Linked DNA regions of Diceros bicornis minor. The protein of the gene in region 1 purifies or fractionates together with the protein of each later gene. This does not show direct contact. Links are inferred from orthologs where the notes say so. Each region holds a gene or a part of one and is shown on either strand. Other genes may lie near its edges.

What was found.
Region 2: the proteins of FBL (region 1) and TGS1 purify together in Homo sapiens (affinity purification with mass spectrometry; 3 studies listed by BioGRID and IntAct, counting the BioPlex papers as one, with this or other methods). This does not show direct contact. The link is inferred for Diceros bicornis minor from reciprocal best matches to the Homo sapiens genes FBL and TGS1.

The regions. Positions count from the first base shown.
Region 1 is NC_080773.1:13,612,609-13,622,600, forward strand, and holds the start of FBL (rRNA 2'-O-methyltransferase fibrillarin), read right to left. Parts: upstream 4,611-9,992; 5' UTR 4,512-4,610; coding exon 4,502-4,511; intron 35-4,501; coding exon 1-34.
Region 2 is NC_080772.1:9,611,759-9,622,464, forward strand, and holds the start of TGS1 (trimethylguanosine synthase), read left to right. Parts: upstream 1-6,102; 5' UTR 6,103-6,255; coding exon 6,256-6,359; intron 6,360-10,706. UniProt on the Homo sapiens protein: Catalyzes the 2 serial methylation steps for the conversion of the 7-monomethylguanosine (m(7)G) caps of snRNAs and snoRNAs to a 2,2,7-trimethylguanosine (m(2,2,7)G) cap structure.

The DNA of each region.
Region 1 (9,992 bases):
CGGCCACCGAAGCCACCCCCACGGGGGCTGAAACCTGTGGCGAAAACAGAACCAGGAATCAGGACAATGAACTCAAGTAGTTACTCCTACACCTCTACTCAGGAAACTGGAGAAACGTCCACGTTGCACCAGGAGACATGTCCATCAGCAGAGTGGACAAATAATATGGGGAAAATTCACAATCAACAATGAAAAGGATCAATAGTTACACACGACAGATAAATCTCAGAATCATAACATTCAGTGAAAAGGCAAGTGCAAGAAAACCACATCCACATAATATCCTTTTCATAAAGTTCGGCAACAACTAAAATTCAACGATGCTATGCTGGATTGATTGATATATGCGGTAACCCATGCCACCCACCCCCCAAAAAGAGGCAAGGGAATGATAACTGCGAAACTCATGACCTTGGGTGGCGGGAGGGAGAAATTATGGGGTTAGGATGGGGAAGAGTATATAGGTCGACGTAGGTTACTGTCAATATCCTGCTTTCTTTGGTTGGATAGCAGAGTCGCAGAAGTCATTCTATTTTCCATATTAATTAGTCTGAAAAAGAGCGAACACTGCATGTGTGCATGCACCGTGGCAGAAGGGTCCTCCAGACTCTGGAAACATCTTCGTGCCCTCCCACTCCTGACCTCATGCCTGGAAGAAAAGCGCCCACTCCCAAACAGGGGGGAGGAGCTTGGAATGATGTCTTTCCTTCTAACTGATCTCTCGGCTTCCAAGGCTGCAGAAGTCTCTCACAGCTCAGGGAAAAAGAAGAAAAAAACCTGAATTGTCTTTCATGGATGGGCAACAGTTCTTAAGCAGTTTAGGGCTTGTCAACAAGATGTAAAGTTTAAGAAAAAGAAAAAGATTTGGAGAGACTTTATTTTCATCACTTCAGGAGAAAGCAAACATTGTTCACTTCACGGAGCACAAAACAATGTTGGGAGCAGACAGAATTCTGGTGCTAACAGATTGAATATGTGACTTTTCTGTGTGGGTTTCAAAAGCTCTGCAGTACCATTCAGAAAAACTACGAGTTATAAGACAATAGCGTGAAAATGAGTGATGGTTTAAAATGATCTCACCTGATGTAAACTAGTCACTAGTACACTTGCTCAAGTTTTTGTAAAGGTGCATTGTATTCACACTCTGAAAGCTTCATGCATCTGAATGGCGTTAAAGATGAAAAGGTGGAATTTCTAATCGCTATTCCTAATTTGATTGTTAAAAATGAACAGTTTCAAACTCCTCACGTAACCAAGAGCTGTCTGCCTTTATCGTCTCCCCCTCTACAGCCTACTGTCCACGGAGCAGCTAGTGACGGAGTTGTTTAAAACAGCAAACAGCAAATCAGATCTCAGCATCCCCTGTCCGAATCCCTTCCATGGTTTTCCATCACATTCAAAATGAAATCAAAATTCCTTTCCCTGGCTTCCAAAACCCTATATCAGTGGGTCTCCCCTTTGGCTAATCCCTGGAACCTAGAGATTCTGATTGAACTGTCTGGGCTAGGGGCCGGGGCCTGGGCTTCTTAAAGTTCCCCCGGGGATTCTAATGTGTGGCCCAAACTGTGAACTCCATCACAAGGCCCTGGCTTCTGCTGACTTCTGACTGCGCTCTCTCTATCCTGGGCCCCACGCTCTTCCTCTCCAAGAACAAACTCGCTCTCCGGCATCTAAAGCTTTAACATCTGCTGTCCCCCTGCCTGGCTCCTGTGGACACGTGCTAGGCCCACCTCCTTCCCTGCACTCAGGTCTCTGATTAAATGTTCCTTCCTCAGACAGGCCTTCTCTGCTACCCCACCTTTCCCGTGCTTGCTCGTTCTTCCTATCGATGACCACACACGGCGTTTTTAATATTATCACCGCCTGCCTCCTCCACCAGAATCAAGCTCCAAAGAGACAGGCATGTTTAATTGTTTTGGTCAGCGCAGCATCCCCAGCACCGTGCGCAACACCTGACACCAAGCAGGGGCTTGGTAAACATTCAATGAGCTGTCTGTGATAACCCTTAGATCCCTGGGCTCTGCTCCTGCAGAGAGCACCCTCTCTGTTCATTCAGAAAGCAGGTGATCAGATGGTGACCAGAGCCCTGGCCCCTCCCCTCAAGCAGCTCATGTAGTCCATCCAGCGAGATGGCCACGCAATTCACGACCCTAGAGAGCAGGGAAGGTTTGTGGGAGTCTTGAAAACTTCACCTATAAGACGGAGATATGGAGATAACACAGTGCTCACCTCAGGGAGTTGTCAAGAGTAAATGACTTAATACACACAAAGCACTTCACCTAATACACTGCCTGGCACACAGTTTGCCTGGCACACAGTTTGAATTATTCAAACTCGGGGGAATGAGTCCCCCCTCCCTCCTACTTAGGAAGAAACCACTAGGCCTAAGAGGTTCTCAACCCAGGCCCGAGGAACAGAGACCTGGGAAGTGTGGGCACGGCATGGGGGACAATGGGCACGAAGGTAAATTTGCAGTCCCAGATACTCAAAGCATAGCTTAATCCATTTCAGGTCCTGGGGCTCTTAGAAAAAGGTACTCAAAGTACCCATTGCTCAGAAAAACACATATTCACACACATTTTTCTAGAAGTTTTTGGTGGAGGGTCCACAGACCCCCTGGTTTAAAGCTGCTCTCCTCCCACAGCTGTGCCCATCTCAAAAACGGCAACTCCATCCTTCCAGCTACACACGCAAAAGCCCTTAGTTATCCTTAATTCCTCTAGCTCACACCCACATACAAGCTGTTGGCTCTGTCTTCAAAATATATTCCCAAATCATGACGATTTGTCAATCAGGTCCACTGCTCTCACCCTGGTCCAGGCCACATCATCTCCTAGTAGACTACAGCACCAAACTTCCACCCATGTGCCCATGTCCACTCTTGCTCCCCAAAAGTCTTATACACACAGAAGCAAGAGGGATCCTTTTAAAAGTGTCAATCAAGTCTAACTGACAGCATCCCTGCTCAACATCTCCCAAAGGCTTCCTCTCATTCAGACTAAAATCATTCCCGCAGAGCCGATTCCTGAAACCTGGTAGATTTACTTTTACCACTTCATATCCTAACGCAACGGAGGAAGGGTTGGGAGGAAGGTGTATCCTCCATTCCTGGGGGGAATCAGACCACAGGGTGCCTGCAGGGATACCAGGGTCTCAGGACATACAGAGCCTGGCACCTCCCACCCCACTTCATCAGTAGCTCCCTGAACATTGAAGAGAAAGAGAGCCTGGGAGGGGGCATGGATTCACAAACCCCACCCCCGCAATGACCCCATCTCTCCGCACACCAGAACAAAAAAAAAAGAAAAAAGAAAACCTGTACTAGGAAAATAGACCCGTTTGATCACAGTGGAAGATTTCCTCAGCTCCAGTGGAGAAAGTTGTGGGGAGGGGTATGGCCTGACTTAGGAAGAGCTGAGACACCAGGGAGAAAGACCCTAATTTTGTTCCCCTTGAGAAGATAAAGATAACAATTAGAGCCAATACTATTATATGGCAAGCCCTGTGCTATTTTTTCCCCAGCTTTATTGAGACATAATTGACATACAACATTGTCTAAGTTTAAGATGTACAACCTGTTGATTTGATACACTTCTACACTGTGAAATGATTACCACCATGTATTATTTTTTGTTAACATGATCTCACTAAATTATAACTGGGAGCCATTTTATTGCTGAGAAAACTGAGGCTCTGAGAGGTAAAGCCATTTGCCCAAGGTCACACAGTAGGTTAAGAAGCAGAGCCAGGATTGAAACTTTGAACCGAGACCCTTCAGCTGTCAAAGCCAAGGCTCTCATCATTACACCATGAGGGAGGTGGGGTGGGTTCATCAGAATCTCAGGGAAAATCGAAAGGATAAAAGCACTTATGCCCTGTGACTACCTCCCCCCTCCCCCACGCTAATCCTATCCTGGGCTTGTGAAGTTTCATCTCACCGCTGAGTTGAGAATCACTAGGCCCAGGATCTCTACTCCATCCTCAGGGACCCGCCTCCTCGGAAGAGTCGAGAGCGGGAACGTGGGCCAGACAGGGCCACACGCTATAAGGCGGGAGTCCTCATCCACTCCGGCCCTCTCTGAGAAGCTGGGTTGGGGGCTAAGGGGACGGTGGGAGCGGCGGCGATACGGGAGGCAAACGGGGGCCTCGCAGACCCAGCACGAGGGACTCGCCACCTCCAAACCAAGACATGTTCCCAAACCCATGCCCAGAGATCCCAGACCCCAAACGCTTGGATCCAGACTCTGGGTCAGTATCCCCGACTGCCGCCCCCGGCCCAATGTCCAAGACCCCTAACGACGGCCTCAGTGAGATGAATCCCAGTTCAGGACCCTCCAGTTCCAGGGACTCACGACCGTGACCTCCCCCTCCCCACACGAGACCGGATCCGAGCCCAGAACCCCTGCCCTGAGGCCAAGGACCCCCCACTCCGATTCCGGCCTGGGACCCCGATTCCCGCCAGGCCCCAGTCCCTGACCCTCGACCCCAACCCTGGCCGCACCTGGCCTCATGGCGAGAGCGGAGTTGCCCGGCTCACGAGCCTGCCGCGTCCGGAACTCCACGAGCCCGGGGATTTCGCACGTGGAAAAGAGCGCACGCGCGCGGCGACGTACGGGGCGTGACGCAACCACGCAGCCCCGCCCCTCGGAGGCCAGCTCCGCCCGGAGCCCGGCGCCTGTGCTGTGGGCGGGGATTCCCGAGCCTCGTCGCTCTCCACGCTGTTTTGACCTGTGCAGCGATCGGTACCCTAAACACACTTCCCGCTTCCCCATCACCGGTTCGAGCACCCCGGTAAAGAGGGATCATCTCCCAGCCTTCGCACGGGCCGTGCCCTCGGCCCCTCTTCTCTATTCCTCGTTAGCTCCCAAAGGTCCCCTCTACACCCAAAAGCCTTTGTGATCCATTTCCACTCCCCAAGAACAGGGACCGACCGACTCTGGGCTCCCATTCATACACTCGAAAAGCATTTATTGTGCGCCTTGTATGTCCCCGGCACTATGCTAGGCGCTGGGAATACAGCAGTGAACAAGACATAAAAATCCCCACCCTCCTGGAGCTCGTCTTCTAATGGGAGAAACAGACGCCAAACAAGTTATTAGAAGGCAGGGAAGGGAGATAGGGACTGGTGTGTGTTGTGTGTGGAGGGAGTGACATTTCTCGTAGGGTGGTCAAGGAACGCATCAGGTGACTTTTGAGCAAAGAGCTAAAAGGAGGTAAAGGAGTGAGCAGATTCTGCATAAGTATTGAGAATTTTGTGATTTGTAATTTTATAAATTAACATTCATGCCTATATTCATTCCACAAAGCAAAACAAATGCTACTATGAAAAATTCCTTAAAACCTCCAGGAGAGTCCACTAGTCTGTTCCATTCATTGCTGTATCACTCAGTACCTAGAACAGAGCCTGGCACAGAGTGAGTGCTCAGTAAATGTCTGTTGAATGAATGAATGAACCCATGCTGTTTTACATTCTCTGTGCAGGGTGTTCCAGCCGTACAGAAACATTCCTGAAAATTTGTTTAAATATTAAGATGGAAAATCTGCTGAGTCTATTCTGGATATCCAGGAGCTGCATAGTACTTCAAATGGCTCCAATTCAGGAGGATGTTACCTACTTCTTATGGCTTTTACTGTTTGCCTTCCAATTAAAACATTTTTTTTTCTAAAGGACAAAAACAGTCAGGCTACAGTGCAGATTTAGGGTTGCCAGCCCTATTTTCTGGAATCCTGGCACCATTTCCTGGCTCTGAGGTATTTCACCTGCCAACTTGCTCTGCAGACCTGAAATTGGCACTATCAGTGAGTAGTTAGTGGGTGCCGGCTGGTCTTTTCCTGTGTGTGTGAGGAAGATTGTCCCTGAGCTAACATCTGTGCCAGTATTCCTCTATTTTGTATGTGGGACGCCGCCACAGCATGGCTTGAGGAGCAGTGTGTAGGTCTGTGCCTGGGATCTGAACCCGCAAACCCCGGGCTGCTGGGGCAGAGTGTGTGAACTTAACCACTATGCCACCAGGCTGGCCCCACCAGCTGGTCTTGTGCTGGGGACACAATGGTGACTGAAAGAGTCCCATGCCTTGCCCTCCTAGAACTGCCAGTCCAGTGGGGGAGACAGACAGGTCTCAGACAGTGTCAACCCAGAGTGGTGAGGGCCAGAATGGGGGAGGTACAGGCAGAATGGTCAGGGCTGGGAGGGGGAGCCATTGAGGGCTTTTCCCTATATCTCTCATATCCTCAGCTCCCTCTGAGCCTTCCTTTTACCTTCCTGCTCTAACCACAACCTAGCTCTCCCCTGAAGACATGCCGTTCTGTGCAGCCCTTCCAAGCAGGAGCTGTTTTCTCCTCCTTGCTCTTTGCCTTTCTCTCTGCCTCCTCCCTAAGCCCCTAATTTTGAACCTTATACTATAGCACCTGCTCTCATTCTTGCTGCTAGCTCTATCAACTCCCAGCTCACTTCATCATTTTGGCTCCAGGCTCACTGCCACTCAAGCTGCTCTGATCATAATTCTTGGTGATTTCCATATTCAGGTTGATGCTTCTGGGACGGTTCTGGCCTCTCTATGCCTTAATCTCCTCTCCTCTAGTGATCTTGTCCTCCACCCAACCCTTCCTTCCCACGGTCACACCTAGACTTTGTGCTGGGGACACAATGGTGACGATGAGGGAGAAAGACCAGTCCCCAGATAGTGACAACTCCAAAACTGCAGCCCTTTGTGCAAAATAAGAAAGGAAACCTCAACTAAATTGGAGTCTGGAAGGCCTGCAGGGGGCGCTCTCATGCCCTAGCATATATCATTAATTATTTCAAACAGGAAATGGCTTAGCTTGCATCTCCGACAGGAAGTACAATTACTGTACTACTGAAGGAAGATTTTTCTCCCCACCCGGCAACAGCCCAGCCAATGAGAACCGCCAGTGAGAAGCCATTGCCACCCTGAACTGTTACTTTCTCCCAATGGACTTTCCTTTAGAACAGCCCCTCCCCACTCCTTTTTCTGTACAAAAGTGAGCTTCTTTCCTTTGTTTTCTGGATTTGCCTATGGTTCACCATAGTGTGCACATCCCAAATTGCAATTCTTTTGGCTATTCCTGAATAAACTCATTTTGAGGGTAAAATAACAGCCAAATTTTCCTTTTAGGTTGACACTCTGCAGAATCTCAGATCCATGCATCTCACTGTCTGCCCATTGCCTCCTGTCTCTCTAGCCCACTCCCTCTAGAGCTATTGCTCCAATGATCCTTCAGCTCCACCAGTTCATTTAGCTGACTGCCTTTTCCCTGTCCCTCACCTCCCCATGACCATACCACTCCCACCACCCAGCCTGAGTCCCCATCCATCATGATCACCACTCCCTTGCTCACACCTTCACAATATGTGCTCTTTTCTAACTTTGTCTTTTTCACCCAGTTGAGTCCACTGTCCACCTCCCCTGCACCTGCACCCTGGCAGCTGGATGTGGATGGAGAAAAACTCACACCCACTCTGGCTGGTCTCACTTTGGATTCATGACCACAAACCCGATGGGCCCTAGTGCTGCCCAGCCATCCTATCACATGTCCCTAATCCACTCAGTCTCCCATTTTATTTTTTTCCCAATTGGTAGTATTGGTAACATGTGTTAACTTTTAAATGCTTTGTTAAGGCATAATTCACATACCATAAAATCCACCTGTTTTAAGTGCACAGTTCAATGAATTTTAGTAAACTCATACAGTCGTGCGACCATCACTGCGATCCAGTTTCAGAACAATTCCATTATCCCATTTCATACAAATGGAATCATGCAATATGTAGTCTTTGGTGTCTGGCTTTTGTCGCTTAGCATCATGTTCCATGTTGTTGCATGTATCAGTCATTCATTCCTTTTTATTGCTGAGGATTCCATTGTATGGATACACCACATTTTGTTTATCCATTCATCTATTGATGGGCATTTGATTTGTTTCCAGTTTTTGATTATTATGAATAATGCTGCCATGAACGTTCATGTGTTAATATTTGTGTGGACATGTGATTTCATTTTTCTTGAGAAGAGTCCTAGGAGTCAAATGGCTGAGTCATATGGTAAGAGTATGTTTACCTTTTTAAGAAACTGACACACTATTTTCCAAAGTGGTTGGACTTGCTTGAAGGATTATTTTACACTTTCTCCTTTCTCATTAAACCTCAGAACCTTCTCCTCCTTTCTTACTCTTAGATGATGACTTTGCTTCCCACTTGAATGAGAAGATAGAAGTAATCACAAGAAAACTTTAATATCCTCCCATCGCCATATCTGCCATCCAACTGTCCCTGTTACTTCATATGCTGTATAAGAAAAGTGTTTCTGTACTTACACACTTCACTTCTGACACCAAATGCATGAGTTTACCACACCAAGCAATTCTCCAATTCTCTGCAGACTCCAACTGGCGTCCTACAATTTAGTTCAATTTGGACACTACCCGGAGTTAGCGCAGACCCCACAGGTTAAGGGCTCAGCCCCACAAGACTGCCCCCACTTCAGACACCAATGGCAAGTCCAGGCCACCCATACTTCTGGCTATAAATCAGGAGAGCCCACGACCCCTTCCTCTGTTCAACAATTTGCTGGAACAGCTTATAAGATTCAGGAAAAAGGATACAACTCAGGAACAGCCAAATGGAAGAGATGCGAAGGGCAAGGAATGGGGGAAGCAGCGCGGAGCTACCATTCCTTCTCTGGGCGTGCCAGCTTCTGAGCACTTCAACGTGTTCACCAACCCAGAAGCTCTCCAAACCCAATTGCTTAGGATTTTTATGGATCTTTCATTACAAAGGCATGATTGATTAAATGGTTAACCATTGATGATTAACTCAATCTCCAGTCTACCTCCCCTTCCCAGAGGTGGGGGTGGTGGTGCTGAAAGTTCCAACCCTCTAATCACGTGGTTGGTCTTTCTGGAGCATTTTTCAGCTTAACACAAGACATCTCAAATTTAACGTACAGCAGGTGCTCAAACACATTTGTTGAATGAATGAAGGAATGGCCACGGCGGGGTCATGAGGGCTAGTGTTGCAAACATCTTTCAGTGAAAAAACAGATTAGGACCAAGTATGCAGAACTCTTCAGAGGCTGTTATGACTGAGACCTTTACGACTTGATTAATTTAAAAAAATTTATAACAAAATTTTAAATCCAAAAGTAGAGAATATAAGAAACTCCATTTACTCCTCACCCAGCCTCAATGACTGTCAACACTTTGTCAGCCTTATGTATGGCCCCACTTTTTTTTTTCTGCTAGAGTATTTTAAAGCAAATCTCAATATTATGCCATTTCACTTTCATATACTTAAGTATGTATCTCAAGAAAAGAGAAGAGCATGTATCTCAAGAAAAGAGAAGAGGATGTTTTCTTACATTATTACACTTAACAAAATTAACAAGGAGTCCTTTATATAATCTAATAACATGTCCATATTTATATTTACTCAATGGTCTAAAAATGTGATTTTTAAAAATTGCTGCTTGTTCAAATCAGAGTCCAAACAAGTTCCCCTCATTTGATTGTTCTCTGTCTCTCTCTCCGTCTCTCTCTCTCTCACACACACAAACACAGACACACACACACACACACTCATTTTTTGGCTAAGAATCTTCAGAGAGTATAATTCATTGTTTTAAACGGTTTTTTGGAAGTACAACACACCTACAGAAAAATATATGTAACTGTGCAGGTTTATGAGTTAATCACAAAGGGAACAATCCACCTAACCACCACCCAGGTCAACAAATAGAACATTACCAGTACCCGACAAGCCCCCTTGTGCCTCTCCTCGTAGCTCTCTTATTATGTACACGGTTCTAACTTTGCTTTCTTCACTTCATAATATATCCTGGAGATCCCTCCAAAACAGTGTATAGAGAGCTTTGGTATTTTTCATTCATCTGCATAGTTGTCCATCATGTAGATGAACCATCGTCTATTCAACCAGTCCCCTACTGACAGACAACTGAGTTGTTCCAATCTTGTCC
Region 2 (10,706 bases), on another chromosome or scaffold:
GAGTTGGGGGGTGGGCATAAGGGGGGAAGGGATGCATGTATAGGGTGACTGACAAACAATAATGTACAACTAAAATTTCACAATGTTATAAACTATTAAGACATCAATAAAAAAAAGAATAGCTGCAGCTCTGCATGCAGATGAACAGGGATTGAAACAATTATGCAAAAAGGAAAAGTACTAGGAAAAGCAGTAGAATCTGAGCTAACTCATTTTTTTTTGAACCAAGAGCATTAACATGCATTTGTTAAAAAAAAATGTTCCAGAATTAGATAGCAGTGATGGTTGTACAACTTTGTGACTACACTAAAAACCACTGAGTTATACATTTTAAAATGGTGAATGTTATGGTGAATTACACCTCAATAGAAAAAGTTTTTAAATATTGTTAATAAATCAAAATTTATGACAGCCTCTCAAATATGTTAAAAGGAGCTTTTCAAAGGCCTAAAAACCAATTATTTTAATATCCGACTCTTAATGCTTAATACAATTGCCCCCAACGAGCTAGTCTCATTTCCGATTTTTAATAAGATTGTAAAATCTTGTGGTTTTAAAACCTTCTTTAGTACCTCCCCCCACCCAAATTGGTAATAGAACTACCCTTTCTCACCTCACTCACATTCTGATTTAATATATACACTTAAGAAACACAGTAAAGGGAAGGGAGACAGTGCAGAGGCAGAGTTCCAGTGAGAGAGGTTACACGGAAACCTTCACGAGATCTAGCAGTCCCTCAACAGGCCGCAGTGTGCTGCGTGCAAGAACCTTCTCCACAAATGGTCATCCCCGATTTTGATTTAAACCCTTCCAGAACAGAAAACTCAAAAGGTGTCCCATTCCATCTTCAGAACTATCCATTGAACTGCTAAAAATATCTTCCCTATACTTACCTCACTGTACTCTTCCCTACTGGGGAAGAGTTCTGCACCGTAGAAACTCTTCCATTAGACCATCTCTTAAGTTTCAGCACAGCTATCATGAGCTGCAAAATCCCCTTTTCTAGTCAAAATCCTTAGTTCTTTCAACCACTCCTCAGACCTTGGTTTCATAATTTGTCACCACTCAGGTCACTCCCTGTGATTGACTCTAGTTATGATATTGAGAGAAACTTGTACATTAACCCATCTGTGCCTCAGTTTGCTGAGATCTGTAAAACTGGGATAATAACAGGATAATCTGTAAAATTGGGATAATAACAGTACATATAAAACTGGGATAATAACAGTATATAACAGATCTGTAAAAGTGGGATAATAATAATCAAAGGATAATAGGTGTTATGGAGAAAAATATACAGCAGGGAAAGAGGAATATGGAGTTCTATAAAAGGCAATAGGGTAGGAGTGGGGAGGGGGTCGGTATGTCACATAGGGTAGTCTGGGGAGGCCTCTAAAACACCCATTTGAACAGGGACCTGAAGAAGTGAGAAAGTAAACCATGTGGGCATTTGGAAGAGAATCCCTGGCTAAAAGAACAGTAAGTACAAAGGATGTGCGCTTGGTGTGGTCTGAGGAGCAGCAAGGTCGGCAGGCTGAGGAAGAGAGATAGGGAGAGCAGTCAAAAATGGACAGAGAGAGGTAGCACTGTAAAACTTTGCAGGCCAGCTTTTATAGAAGTGGGATGGACATGGCATCAGAAGGGTGAGATTGCCTGACCTGGGTTTTAAATGACTGCTGGGTTGAGAATACCCTGTCCAGGGAGCAAAAAGGAAGTCACTGCAATCACCGAGGTGACTGATGAAAGCGCCTTAGACAAGTGTGCAGACTGAAGGTGCTAAGAGAGGGTCCGTTTCTGGCTATGTTTTGAAGATAAAGCCAAGAGGATTTGCTGGTGAATGAATGTAGAACGTGAGTGAGAAAGAGGTCTGGGACGACCCCCTGGTTTTTTGGCAACATGGGTTTGTATTCTGGGAGGCTCTGCCACTTACTGTGTGACCTTGGCAAGTTACTTAACATTTCTCTGCCTCAGTTTCCCCCTCTGTAAATGGGGATAATAACAGTACTTACCTAATAAGACTGTTGTGAAGATTATATGTAAAAAAAGCTTAGAAGAGTGCCTTCCACTCTACAAGTGCTAAATAAGTATTGCTATTATTATCATCATCGTCACCATCATTATTATTATTAGCTTGCTTGTGGAAAGATGGAGGTGCAGGAAGAACAGGTGTGGGGGAGGATAGAGATCAGGAAGTCAGTTTTGAACGTGTTAAGATTCTACTGGACATCAAGTGAAGATGTTAAAGAGACAGCTGGACATAAGTAGAGTTTAGTAGGAAGGTCAGGGCTAGAGAAGTTTATCTGGGAATTGGAGACATATAGACAGTACTGAAAACCATGAAACTAAAGAAGATCCCTCTAGGGAATGAATATAGAATAAAAAAGAATTTCCAGAATAAATATAGAATAAAAAAGAGCCTTGGGACACTCAACATTTTACATGTTGGGAAGACAATGAGGAACCAGCATCCTCCTTCCAGGAGTGGCATCCTGGACGTCAAAGTAAGAAAGTGTTTCAAGAAGGAAGGAGTATCCAGCTGTTTTGAAAGTTGCTGAGGTCCAGTAAGATAAGGAATGATAACTGATCACTGGATTTTACAACACAGAGGCACTGGCAAGCCCTGATAAGAACTGTTTTGATACAGTGGGGATGATAGTCAGGTGGAGTAAGTTCAAGAACGAATGGGAGGAAATGAATTGGAAACAGCAGATATGGAAAACTCTTAGAGGAATACTGCTACAAAAAGGAACAGAGAAACAGGCATCTAGAGGGGAACGTGGGTCAAGTCTGTTGTTGTTTTAAGATGAGAGAAAATGCAGCAGTTTTTAATACCAGTAATAACGTGTCAATGGGAGCCTGAGAAAAGGGTGATGCAGGAGAGGAGATAACTGTTGAGGCCTGTCCTTGACTAGGCCCGAGGGCACAAAACACAGTGTACAAGAGAGGGGATAGCCCAAGAAGACTTACGTCACTGCGTCATTCATTTATTTACTCAACAAATATTTATGACTAAGTAGTCTGTGCTCGAACTACTCTAAACACCAGGGATACATCCGTAAGCAAAATCAATAGTTACATGAGAGAATCTACATAAAGCACTTAGAATAATATGTGCTTTTGGCACCTGACAAATGCCAACTAAATACAGACAGATCTGAACTATGTTCATCCAAATCTTTTATAAAAATATGGACAAAGACAGTGTCCTAAAACTTGCCCCTAGAGAACTATCAGTGGAGTTTGAATAACATGCTTTGAGTTGATAAAATTTAACTTACTTTTGATAATATGAGAAAATGGCTTTAGAACTCATTGAATGCAACCTCTTAATTTTGAAGAAAAAAGTTAAAAACAGAAAGCCAAGTTGACTTGCCCAAAGTTACTAAATTAATTCAGTGAAGAATCAAGAGCCAAAATTAAAACCCAGTTCTCCTACTTCCTACTCAGGTTTTCATTACGCTTTCTTTGATCTCTCTCTCGCTCTCTGACAGAAAGGCTGAAAATATTATGACTGCAATTTCTGTCTTCCCTCTACTTCTGCCTGGCCCTTCTTCCCCTCCGATTTACCAGAGGCTGTACTTGACTCCTTACCACTTTATTTTAATCCAATAAAAATTCTAATTGTTAAAAGATTTTTCAGGGAGATATAATATTTTAGTTACCAAAATTCCAGGTTATTTCCTATTTAAAAAAATCTATGATAAAACACAGTCCTATGCATCACATTTAAAGTATCTTAATTTTCTCATCTGGAATTCATGTAACTTGTAAGAAAGAGTTGACAGGCTGAAATATTACCATGTTGATACTGATAGTGAGGAATATTTCCTATTATTGACTTTACAGATGTTTAAAATCAGAATATTTCAAAAATGGATAAATCAGAACAGAGGATTTTTTGGTTTGTTTTCTACAAAACCTTAAAGAAATAAATCTGTTTTTAAACACCCATTACCAGTACTTTTTGCCAGTCCTGGTGGTCTAGTGGTTAAGATTCACCCCCTCGGCCCAGGTTCATGTCCCAGTTAGGGAACCACACCACCCATCTGGTGGTTGTCATACTGCGGCAGCTGCGTGTTGCTGTGTGCTGGAAGCTGTGCCACGGGTATGTTAAACACCAGCAGGGTCACCCATGGCGGACAGGTTTCAGCGGAGCTTCTAGACTAAGACAGGCTAGGAAGCAAGACCTGGCCACCCACTTTCAAAAAAATTGGCCATGAAAACCCTATGAATAGCAGCAGAGCATCATCTGATACAGTGCTGGAAGGACGAGAGGATGGCGCAAAAGACCAGGCAGGGTTCTACTCTGCTGTCCACAGGGGCGCTAGGAGTCAGCATCCACTGGACAGCCTAACAACAAACCAGTTCTACCACCATGAATGGTAGCAGATGCATTTCTTACTTTCAGTATATGAGCCACATTGAGGATATGCTGAAAATGCCAATTAAAAGAAATACTCACTGAAACACAAATTAACTTTCCCTTTTTCTTTTTGCATTTTTAATAGTGGTTTAACAGGAGTTTAGTACTCAGTTTTAGCGACTAAGCATTCTATTTCAAACAGTCAATAAAGCTGAAGTTTATCTAATATTTCAGCTAAGGTATCCGCCAAACTCAACCTTTTTATCTTTAAAACAATACCTTTTAGATTTCAAGCTTCAAACTCTACGTTCTGATATGAATTACCTTTCAAGGATTCTTTTTTTTTAATCCTAGGATGTCCTTCAATTTCTAGCTAAAATCTTCCAGTGCTTGATAATTACTGCTCTACCCTTATTTTCTTAACCCAGCCTCATCCGTAAAATGTTGCTCATCAGCACTCCTACCTTCTTGAGTCACTAAAAGGAGCATCTCTCTGACATCAAAGGCAGCAGTAAGGATGTGGGAATAAACATTTCATATGAAAATTAATCTTCTATTTCCACCCACCAATAAATGTGGCCAAAATATTAGTGACTGTCCTAAATGTCTGGATTTTTACCTCAGTTTTTATATACTCTAAAGAAAGAGCAAACCAATTTCAGCATCAAATGGAAAACCCAGCCCTAACCGCTCCAACAACCGTCAAGTCTGAACGTGCTTCTTTGAGGAGGCTGCCTGGGCAGTCTCGACGAACACCGCGCACCCAAGACCGCCGGCTTTTTTCAAATGTAGAGTGCTGCTCCAGTTTTGACATCCTGATTACGTGCACATGTAACTTTTTTATCAACCAGCAGCTTGAGGGCAGAGACCTGTATCACAAGCTGCAAACCGCAGGGACCCAGACAGTGCCTGGCGCCTAAAAAGTATTGGGCACCCACACTACCCACAGCACAGAGAAGAGGTGTGATATGCACGGTTCCCTCAGTGCCTTCCGCAGCCCTGGGAAGCAGGCACTACTGATCGCCCCACTTTACAGACAATCACGACGAGGCTCAGACAGGCTAAGCCGCCTGCGCGGGTCACACAGGTAGCACAAGGGGCACAGACCAGGATTCGAAGCCTGACCATCTGCAGGCGCACGCTCACCCTCCACCCCGGCGGCGGCTCGGCTGCGCTCCCGGCATCTCCACAGCCTCCCCGAGCTTCCACACCAGCAGGCTCGGCTGCGCTCCCGGCATCGGGAGGTCACCGGGCCAGCCCCCGGCCTCGCGTGCGGCGAGCTGAGACCACACGCAGGTTTCCGGGCGCGAGGGGAGATGCGGGGCGAGGAGAACCGGCTCGCGGGGCCCCCCCCGGTGCCTGAGCCCAACACCGAGCCCGGCGGGGAGCGAGCCGCCCGCCCCGGGAGACTGCACGCGCGGCCCGGGCCGCTCCCAGCCCCGCGCGTCTGACGCGCCGTCGGGCGCCGGGCGGGGAGGAGCGCGGGGAGACCACGGCGGGCGCCCACGCACCTCGGGCGGGAGGGAGCAGAGGCGGCTCGCCCTCACCCTCGAGCAGCGGCGGGGGCTCTCCGGTGGCTCAGCGGCCGCGGGAAGCGGAGAAACTGGAGCGGTTGGCTCAACCTGTGAGGAAAAAGTCGAACGGCGCTGCGGCTGCAGCCCGGGCGGGGTTGAGTGTGACACCGCCCGTCGCCCCGCCCCTTCCCGTGGCCTCCGGGAGCCACTTCCGGTGGCGGCTCCGCAGCCTCCTCCCGCCTGGAGCGGCCCCGGGCTGGTTCCTGACTCGCCCCAAGACGGGCCGGCGAGGCCTCCTCCGGTCTCCAGGAACCGAGCAGAGGCCGGGCGGCCGGTCCCGCGCCGTTTACCGCAGGGCTGCCTCCACCGAGGTGGAGGATGTGCTGCGAGAAGTGGAGCCGCGTGGCCGAGATGTTTCTCTTCATCGAGGACCTGGAGGAGGACTATAAAATCCTTTGCCTCTGCTCCAGGGCGTTCGTGGAGTAAGTAAAAACGTGTTCCTCGTCGTTTCTGGCACCGTGGTTGCCCAGGAATGGACGTGTTGAGCACTAGTTGTAAGTGATCCCGGAAACCACGACCAGAGGCCTTGGCCCTTGGGCATGGTGATGTTTAAGCAGCGGCAGCACAAGTCCTCACACTGCGGAGTGGCGGCCTGCTGCCCTGAAGTGAGGGAGTGGGTCTCCTCTGTAGGCTGTTAGGGGAAGTGCGGGAGCTCGTAGATGCCATTTTGTATTTATAAATTGAGGGGGCATTTCAAAATTGGGGGAAAGTGATATGTAAAATGCAGTCTCTTTCATGGACGTGACGTCGCAAGGTGAAGGTTTGAAAATGGGTAACTTGTTTTGGTTAATATCTTTTTTAAAACCTTAAGATTTGCTAAAGCGCAAACGCACATAAGTAGGACTTCTGATTACCTGAGATACAAGATTTAGCTACATTTACATCAGTTTTTGAGCTGTCTTTATTTTTGGGAAATATTTGTTTCGGGTAAAAATTGCCCTGCATGGAAGATAGCTAGCGGGCAGGAAAAAAAATGACTAAAGAATTGGATTCTAGGGGTAGTTTTCTTTATATTAGATGTGTACATTTAGCCACTTAAATCTTTTCTTTTAATCTCTAAAACAAGTATATTTATCCTAATCATTTTAATTGTTAGATAGAACTTGCAGAAGTGAATTTTATGTGACAGACTTTTAATATAGTTTAATGTAGTAGAATTTAAGTTTGAAGAAATTCTTACTATTCATCATGTGTTTTTGTGGAGTAATCAGAAAATTAATGCAAAAAGAAATTAAACACTGTGCTAAATTTAATGTAGAAAGTATTATCTTTTCATTCGTGTATGCATGTATTCATTCGATGAATGCTTTTTGTGCTTCTTTGTATTAAGTCCTGGTGGGCTCTGGGGAACAAGACACAGCCCATCCCTATGTCCTTTGAGTTTACTTTCTAGCAAGGGTGATGAATAGTAAGACAACTGTTACATAAGCAGTTGGTTAATTATAGTTGTAAGTGCTGTGGGAGAGAAGTACAGGATGCTATGGCAGCAGAAACCTAACCTTTGCCCACAGATCACAGAGATTTAATTTCGAGAAAGTAGTGTTTGAAAAGAGGTGTGAAGAGTGTGTGGAGATAAACTGGGATGTGTTTGAGTGGGAGGAAGCATTCCCAGAAGCAAAACTCTGTAAAAGTCTTGAGGGAGCAAAAGAAGCCTGTGTAACTGAAACAGAACGGCTGGGAGGGGAAGATAGAAGACAGGGTTGATGAGGGAGGCAGGGTCAAATATGCAGGACTTTGTAGAAGACAGGTTACTCCGGCAGCAGCGTGGGGGGTGGTTCCGAGGAGGAGAACCACTTAAAATCATTTTCCAGGCTACAGATGATGGTGGCTTGGATTAGGATTGGTGGCAGTGGAAATGGAGAAAGAAGGAATTATAGCAGAAAAATTGTTGAGTTGAGGGGATTGGATTCAATGTAGGGGAATAAACGAAAGATAAAGGATGGGAAGGAGGAAACTAGGTCAAGGGTAACACCTTGGTTTCTGGTTTGAATTGATGCCTTTCTCTGAGATAAAGATCACGGGAGAGTGATAGGTTTTTATTTTGGGACAGTAGTGAGAAGACAGTCAATTTTGTATGTTTTAATTTTGGAGTACTATGAGATATCCAAGGGTGGATGTTATAGATGGTTGGATATATTGGTTTGGAGCTCTGGCGAAGTCTGGGCTGGTCTTAAAAACTTGAGCCATTCTAGTGCAGATAGTAATTGAAGCCATTAATTTATCACTTAAGGGTGGGGGGGTGTGGGATCCATCCTTGAAGAATTCCAACGTTTTTTAAAGATTAAACGAGAAGAGATGGATTAACTGAGAAAGAGGTAGAATGCAAGTATACTGTCACCAAACATTTGAGGGAAGGAGTACATTGGAAAGCTGGTACTGTAACAAGCTATATGAGAACTAAAAAATATCCACTTGAATTGGTAAAAAATTTTTTAAAAATCTGCTAGATTAGGGCCGGCCCCGTGGTGTAGTGGTTAAGTTCGTGCGCTCTGCTTTGGCAGCCCAGGGTTCACGGGTTCGGATCCTGGGTGTGGACCTATGCACCACTCATCAGGCCATGCTATGGCAACGTCCCACATACAGAATAGAGGAAGATGGGCACAAATGTTAGCTCAGGGCCAATCTTCCTCAGCAAAAAGAAAATCTACTAGATTGTTGACTTGCTCAGTGCCGGGCAGTAATTGCTTTACATTTCATACTTTTTTTTTTTTTTCCGTTTAAGCGTTCCAGCAGTCCCCTGAGCTGGGATGTTTTCTTCCTATCCTTACTTTATTCAAGTAGAAAACTGAGTTTCAGTAATGGCCTAAAAAAAAATCAGACAGCCGGGTAAGTGGCAGCCCTGCTTTCTACCCCAGGTCTGTGTTGACTCCATAGCCTTTCCACTATCCCACTAATTAGTCTAGAACATATGATTTTATTGAATCTTCCCAATTGAGTATTTAAGTGGTCTAAAGTCACTAGGACAACTGGAGCCTTATTAAAATATTTTAATGTATTTTATTTGAGATAGAGAACTATTCTGGAAATTGAAGAACCTGTGTTTACATCTCATCATGCCCATGTGACTGGTGGTGAGCACAACAAAATCATTTGAATGTGTTTTTTCCCACAAAATTTCTCATTTATTCACCATGTATATCAGCCACCCATGTGTCAGGCACTGTAATAAAAAGATGACTTAGGCACGGTAGTGATGATTGTTGTATTCAGAGGTGTGATGATGAGCTGCTTAGGGCTCTTAGGGGAGCAGTATCTTAGTGGGGTCACTACAGTGCAGGTCTGGTCTCCAGCTTTACGATTCAGTTCAGCAGTTAAAGTTTATTTAGTCCTTACGATGTGCCAGGTCCAGATACTCATCCAGAATCATTATGCTCTTTGGCTTGAGTTACACTGACCAAATTCAAAGATTGCTTTATAGAGAACACTTAGCAAGTATAACAGAAAATTCTTTGAATATCAGGCATCAGAAATACATCTTTCTCAGTGATGAATGTTCTTGGAGATTCTTGAAAGTTGCCCTAAGTAAGAAACAGTTGTCATAAAAATTTAAAAGCTAGCATTCTCTCTCTTACTGCTAATCTTTCGGCCTCAGATTATCTGTAGCCTTGTGATGTACGAGTAATAACCTTGGATACCTGTTTCACCTCTCACCCATGAAGAAGTGTCTTTCTGCTCCTACCTCTGGACCTGGGCTGACTTATTGGGCTGGCCCATTCCCCAAAAGGGGTGCAGGCTAGCACTGTGGGCGGGGCCAAGGCGCTCACCACAGGAGAGTACCTGGCTGTATTGTTGGGTGTGCAGGCCAAGAAAGAAGAGTCAGCTTGCATAGGGCACCAGCCCAGGTTACATAGTTAGTTCTTAGCCTGCAGCCCACTTGAGTCTTGATGCTGTCTTCATGAAGCCTCCTTTCCAAAAAAAGAAAAGGAAGGGAGAGAACATAAGTTACAAAATATAAAAAGTTGAGAAAAATTCTCATACCATACCTCTAGAAAACAATATGTAACTGGATTTCAATTAAAGTGACTTTATTTAAAACAATTTTAATTGCTATATAAATCACCAATTATATTGAATTTAGTCTTTTTGAATTAAAACGTGCACTCTTTTCATTACAGATAATTTCGTACATATTCTTAAAACTTACAAGCTCTACTTCACTTTTAGAAACTACATTCCAACTTCAAAATAAGTAAAGAGAAAAGAATGACTTTTTCCTTTAGCTAAATTAATGCTCAGACAAATTATAACCCTTTAGAACAAAAAGAACTTGGAGATATGATCTTGGAATTGTTGCCAGTAGGAATTGTTGAGAAGTCCTCAGGAGTGGGAGACAGGCTGAAAGTTCAGAGGCTTGTAAGTGTAACCCTGATTTTCCAGGTAGGGAAAAGGTCTGTTTCAGAATCTAAAAACAACAGATTTGATTGTTGGCAAAATTCTAAAATAGATTATTAAACTGAAAAATCAGTACTGCATAGCAGAAACATAGAAAATGAGTATAATTTCCAAATAACTTCTCAGTAATTGAGTTGCTTCTCATACTAAATAAGGTTATTTGTACACTTCCTCTCAAAGGCAGGAGCTAGGACATTGTATTGTAATTAATTTTTCTTTTCTGAGGACATTACAATTAACATACTGTCTTATGAACTCTGTAATTGGAGTAATAATTCTATTTCATCTACACATTCAATTTTCTATACATTATCTATATGAAGAAGACAACGTTATGGGACTCTTAAAAATAATCATTACAGTGGCTCTGTAGTTGT